Linked DNA regions of Saccharomyces cerevisiae S288C. The gene in region 1 interacts genetically with each later gene. Each region holds a gene or a part of one and is shown in the gene's direction. Other genes may lie near its edges. The genes, in order: DPI35 and CMI7.

Region 1 (3,725 bases):
CCATGATTTGAAACTCTGTTTGGGTGACCACAGCAGTGTCCCAGTAGCACTAAAAGGCCAAGGCCCTTTTACGTTAACATATGATATCATTGAAACTTTTTCTAGCAAGAGGAAAACTTTTGAAATTAAAGAAATAAAAACCAACGAATATGTCATTAAAACACCAGTCTTTACTACTGGTGGTGATTATATTCTATCTTTGGTTTCTATCAAGGATTCTACCGGCTGTGTAGTTGGACTCAGCCAACCAGATGCTAAAATACAGGTGAGGAGAGATATTCCATCTGCTGCATTCAATTTTTTTGAACCTATCAAAGAAGCTAAAATTAAGCACGGTTCTGTCACTGAAATTCCGCTCAAATTAAGTGGAGAGGGGCCATTCACCGTTAAGTTTAAACACATGGATTACGATGGAAACATTGTGAAAGAATTTGAAAACAAATTTCAGAATAGTTATAAGCCCGCTTTGAAAGTAAGTAAAGAAGGGCTTTACCAATTGGTCGATATTCGTGACTCAAGTTGCCAAGGTAATGTGATTTACCGGAACAGTCTGTATAAGGTATCTTTCTTGGAGAAGCCAAAATTTGCAATTCAAGACAATCATCACATTACAAAAGTAACGGAAAATTTATTCTCTAAAGAAGAAGTCTGTCAAGGGATGGAAGGTACGGTTGATTTGGCTCTATTTGGTTCTCCACCATTCATATTAGAATATGATTTGATGGCACCCAACGGTCATATTTCTACAAAAAAAATTCAGGTGGCAACCAAATACGCTTCACTGAAACTGCCTAATCAAATTCCTGGAGAGTACATAACTACTATTAAGGCCATCTTCGATGGCAATTATGGTGAAAGCGACATACATTTTAGAGAACATCAGTCGGAGCTCATAATCAAACAGACAGTGCACCCCATTCCAGACGTCGCCTTTGCTGATGGTGGTAAAACCTTGCGTGCATGTGCTGCTAATGTAGATCAAATCTCATTTTTGGAACCAATAAATTTGAAATTTTTACAAGGCGAAAGCCCATTTTCAATCACCTTTAGCGTTTATCACGAGAGTACCAGTAGGACAGATCAGTATACCATTGACAACATTGACTCAGAGAACTTTTCATTTGAAAAGTTATATGAAGGGATGAAGTTAGGTAACCATGCCATTACTATTGATTCTGTTGTTGACGCAAATGGTTGTGTTAACAGCCTCATATCTGGACCGCGTAATCAAATTCTTGTGTCAATTACTGATGCACCAAAGATACATATATTAGATCCTTCTACCGAGTATTGTGTTGGGGACTATGTTGCATATCAATTAAACGGTGTGGCACCTTTCATGATTAAGTATGAATTCAACGGTATTCCACTAAAATCTAAGGAACGCAGCTCCCAATTTGTTAGATTAGCATCTGAACCGGGCATTATATCTATCACTTCTTTACAGGATTCATCATCACAATGCATTGTCGACTTTACGAACCCTAAATTAAAGAGTGAATTTGATGACTTATCTTTAAACATACATCCTATTCCTTCCGTAACTGTTTCTCAAGGAAATTACGTTACTGAGGATATCCGCGAAGGTGACCAGGCTGAAGTAATCTTTTCGTTTGAAGGTACCCCACCATTCTCACTAACTTATGTAAGGACAGAAGAGACTGATGGAAAACACGGCAAAAGGAGGTCGCAGGTTGTTGAGACGCATAAAGTCACTGATATATATTCTCATGAATACAAGGTAATTACAAGCTTGCAAGGTACCTACGAGGCGATTGAAATTACAGATGCTTATTGTTTTGCCAAAAATGATCTTTTTTTCAATAACTAAATATTACAAGAAAGTCTGATGAAATTTTTCTTTCCCGCAATATTTTTGTACAATTGTAATGTATAATATATCTCTGTACATCAGTATTAAAATACTTAAGAAAGCGAAAAAGACGCCTGTATTGTTTGTTGTTCTTTTTCTTCAAAATTATCAAGACGCTCGATTCAATTATCTTCGCTCATAGTAACTCGAAAGAGTGTAGGTGAATGAATAGAAAAAGAGAGCGCTGAGACCTTTGTCCTTTACGGTCTATAGAGGTGTGTTAAAAGCAGACTTTTGAACATCCACAGAAATTGGCTCAATGACCTATCCGAAAAGAATACCTATAAATGCGTGGTCTGAAGTTCATAGGGTGGCAAGGCCACTAATTATTACTTTCGACGCATATAATACACTATACGCCACAAAACTTCCCGTCATGGAACAATACTGCATTGTTGGGCGTAAATATGGTATCAAGGCGAATCCTTCGACTTTAACAAACAATTTTCCACACGTTTTTAAAAAACTGAAGGAAGACTATCCCCAATACGGAAAATATTCTGGTATCAAGCCCGAACAATGGTGGTCCATCTTGATTAGGAACGTCTTCGCACCAAACGAAATTCCCGATGAGATGATAAATGAAATATTAATGCGGTTTGAGGGCTTCGATTCGTATTTTGTTTATCCAGATTTGATCAAATTTTTAAAGGATTTGAAGTCAAGACATCCTGATGTTATCTTAGGAATAGTAAGCAATACTGATCCAATTTTTTACAAATTATTAAAGAATATCGGATTATTTGAGACATTTTCCGGTCACATTTATTTATCATATGAGCTTAATCTCGCCAAACCTGATAGAGCAATATTTCAATATGCGCTTGACGATATTATATCTAAACAACCTCATTTACTCGAAAAGTACACCAGGGAGGAAATTCTACAGCATTGCTTTCACATCGGAGATGAATTAAAGAACGATCTCGAAGGGGCAGAAGCTGCCGGTTGGACTGGTATACTGTTAGATAGAAATGATAAATACGGGTTTCTTTCAAACTCGATTAGTAAACCAATGCGGGACGAATACAAGCTGTCAATTGATAAAATAGATAATAATTCAATAAACACTTGGGAAGCCAATACTAAGCAAACTGACACGTTACAGTTGAGTGAAAGAAAGTACGTTGTTTCGAATCTTGAGGTTTTAGAGGAACTCTTTCCCTGAGCGCCTAACGTTACAGTAACAAATATGTATGATAGATATTATTCATATCCGCCAGTAATATTTACTATATCTTTGAATGGGTTTGTTTATTAATAATCTACTATGTGTAAATATATGATCCAAGTATTATACAGTTTAGACACTGATTGTTTTCCAGACGTTCAAACCGTCAGTACCGGTACTTACTAAACAACCTGGGATTTGCTTATGCCATTTGACATCTTTAACTTCCTTTTGCCAGTGAACAAACAATAATTGTGGTGGAATTTCTTGTAGCTCTTTTGTTTCGGCGGCCTGTTGTTTAATTTCCTCATCGTCAGCTTCTACAGACAAATCCCACAAAGTCACAGTATTATCTTCTGAGCCTACCGCAACGATAGACTCATCTAATGGGTTGAATGCAATGGAAGTAATGGCTCCCTTATGGAAGTCATATTGAGCAACCGGTTGGACGGCGTCAGCATTACTTGGCGTAAACTGTCTTAAATCCCATACTCCCCATGTACCGTTATCGTCACCGCTTGCTAGCAAGTAACCAATTTTATCACTCCAACTTATGACATTTACGTCAGTATTAGAAGCTTTAACAGAGATAGCAGGTTTATGTTTTTTTGATCTTGTGTCCCAAATCCTTATATATCCATCACATCCTGCGGTTGCAAAAACGGTGGATTCAGTGCGAGA
Region 2 (3,050 bases), on another chromosome or scaffold:
GTGCTCCCTAGCGCTGATGATACATTGTCATCGAGACTATTTGATCCATCAGCCGGTCCGAATAACTGTGTTCTACCAGTATCACGTTGATAAGCGTTTCCCCCTGCAAATCTATATACACACGCTATAGTTAGTAAACGAAGTTCACTCGTGGTCAATAACTCCCAATATCGAGGTGTTATGGTAGATGTTTAACAAAAAGCGCTACTCTAACTTTAGAATAGTCTAATAATTTCTCATACCTTGAACTCATCTGTGTAGCCTAGTGTTGTGAGGCTCTTCAATCACATTTTCTAACACATTCACAGTCTCAAGTGAACTACTGTTTGTTTTCTACCATTCCTTGGCAAAAGGCGCGAGTTGAAAAAACTCCATTTTTAACAACTACTGGATACTTTCGCAATTTAAAATTAATGGAAGAAAGAGCCGTGAACGTTCCTACGTAGCTTGCAACAACGGTAGAGTAGTATCCGCCAATTAGCATGCATAAATTTCATCTGAGATAGTGCAACATTATAAAAAATCACTAATACTTTCCCTGATATGTCGCCCCTTCAAATTTTTTGCACGCCACATCGATAAGAGTGAAACATATCCCTGAACAGTAACCTAGAATGTACAGAAATAACTGGAAATACAATTACAAAGCGATAATTACGGGATCTTTGGTTCCTATCACAGAGTAAACACCATGGGTTTATTAGATATTATTTGGAAGAATCACATTAGACGGCTCATCGCGCAAGTAATAGCAAAATGGAAAGAAATCGGAAGGCTTCATTAGTCATGAACGTTTTACACCATCAAAATGAAAACTATACACATGCGTCGAGGAGCACCCAAAACTAATACGACTATTACAATTAAGCATGGAGGAACAGGAGATAGGCGTTCCTGCGGCCTCTTTGGCAGGAATAAAACATATCATATTGATCCTTTCCGGAAAAGGTGGTGTCGGTAAAAGTTCGGTAACGACACAGACTGCGCTGACTCTTTGCAGTATGGGCTTCAAAGTTGGAGTTTTAGATATTGATTTAACAGGGCCATCCTTACCGAGGATGTTTGGCCTAGAGAACGAATCTATATATCAAGGTCCTGAAGGTTGGCAACCTGTGAAAGTGGAGACAAACTCTACTGGCTCTCTTAGTGTAATATCATTGGGGTTTCTACTAGGTGATAGAGGGAACAGCGTGATATGGAGGGGTCCTAAGAAGACTTCTATGATAAAACAATTCATCTCTGACGTCGCCTGGGGTGAACTGGATTACTTACTGATCGATACCCCTCCGGGAACGTCGGATGAACATATATCGATTGCAGAGGAGCTGAGATATTCCAAACCAGATGGTGGTATTGTAGTAACTACCCCACAGAGTGTTGCAACAGCTGATGTCAAAAAAGAAATCAATTTCTGCAAGAAGGTCGATTTAAAGATCCTCGGTATAATTGAAAACATGTCAGGGTTTGTATGCCCGCATTGTGCTGAGTGTACAAATATCTTTTCCAGTGGGGGTGGTAAAAGATTATCGGAGCAATTTTCTGTCCCATACCTTGGTAACGTTCCTATAGATCCAAAATTTGTAGAAATGATTGAGAATCAAGTTTCAAGTAAAAAAACGCTTGTAGAAATGTACAGAGAATCATCTCTTTGTCCCATTTTTGAAGAAATAATGAAGAAACTGAGGAAACAAGACACTACAACCCCTGTTGTGGATAAACACGAGCAACCCCAGATAGAATCTCCAAAATAAGATCCTCTCCTATGCATGTACGTATATATATATATATGTGTGTGTGTGTGTTTATATACACTTATATTTTGATCCTTGGGCCTAGAAATAAATTTCGATTCCTATTTCGATTCCTATATCGAAAGGTGGTTAGAAGCTAACCGGCAACTGCAGCATGTTCTTCAAGTGGTGATACAAATTTAAAAGGCCGGGTAAATATTGACAAAGAAATAATATTTAATCACACAATTTTGAGAAAGAGCAACTGAATCAATTACTCTAGAGAAATCGCAGAACACTTCACTCGTCGTCAATAATATGACTCGTGATACACCCGAAGATGTCAGTACTGCAGGCGCAAAGGATATTTTAGATGTTTTGAACCTACTAAAAGGAGGAGAAGAGAAAATCTCGGAAGTCGAACTTAAGTTGGATGAAATGGAAAAGAAAATGGACTCTCTGTTAGTTCAGTTAGAAGATCTACACAGGGACAACAATGATTTGGCAAAAAGTTCCAGCCAAAAATAGAGAGTACGCTCACAGCCGCATAGGGAAGGAACGCTAAATAAATATATTTATATATAATCTTTTCACTAATGATCATTTACTTACCTTTCTATAAAAAGTGGCTCATCTTCGTTCTCAACGAATGGATTGGGATCTCTTTTAGGATTAATCATGTAAACGGCCGGGTCTACGTCAAGAACTACTTTAACTTGCTTCCCACTTCCAATCCACCATTTTTTTAAATCCGAACTAGGTGGTGGTAACTTTCTACCTCTTTTGGGCTCGGGAATTGGTGTCGGAGAATGCGTAGGGCCAGCTATCGAATCACTGCCCTCAAAACTTTCGATAACAAATGCATCATCACTCAAAACTGCAATTTTCTCATCATCATCCAATCCCTCTAGCCTTTCCATAATCTTCTCGTAGATTTGCGTACCCAAAGTAGTCTTTTTTTGTTCATCCACTACAGTCACTCTAGCCCTAAATATGGCATATACGGGCCGATGATCGGAAAATAGTATATCTTCACAGCATTTATATTCTAACTGTTCTAGTACTTCTCCCCTACTTAAAATCCTATCAGTCCATGCTGGTATTCTCATTTTTTCGCTCGTGTCGTAGTTTTTAGTTCCTGGGTCGAATTTATAGGTAGGTGGGAAATCAATCGCCATTTCATGGAAATATGGAAAAGACTCACCTGCGATCATTTGTTGATTAAGTTGATCCTTTTCAAATAGGCTGGCATATTCTTTAGAAACAATTTTTCGTCTAACATCTTCGTTTGACATCAATATTCTGTAATTGAAATCGCCC

What was found.
Region 2: mutations in DPI35 (region 1) and CMI7 together harm fitness less than expected from each alone (positive genetic interaction), as found in Saccharomyces cerevisiae (one large-scale study listed by BioGRID).

The regions. Positions count from the first base shown.
Region 1 is NC_001145.3:529,987-533,711, forward strand, and holds DPI35 (Dpi35p), read left to right. Parts: upstream 1-2,132; coding exon 2,133-3,041; downstream 3,042-3,725. Other genes in the region: POM152 (Pom152p), read left to right, coding at 1-1,831; ribosome biosynthesis protein RRB1, read right to left, coding at 3,177-3,725.
Region 2 is NC_001141.2:348,253-351,302, forward strand, and holds CMI7 (Cmi7p), read left to right. Parts: upstream 1-2,048; coding exon 2,049-2,258; downstream 2,259-3,050. Other genes in the region: BET1 (Bet1p), read right to left, coding at 1-111, 243-253; iron-sulfur cluster assembly protein CFD1, read left to right, coding at 870-1,751; phosphoinositide 5-phosphatase INP51, read right to left, coding at 2,339-3,050.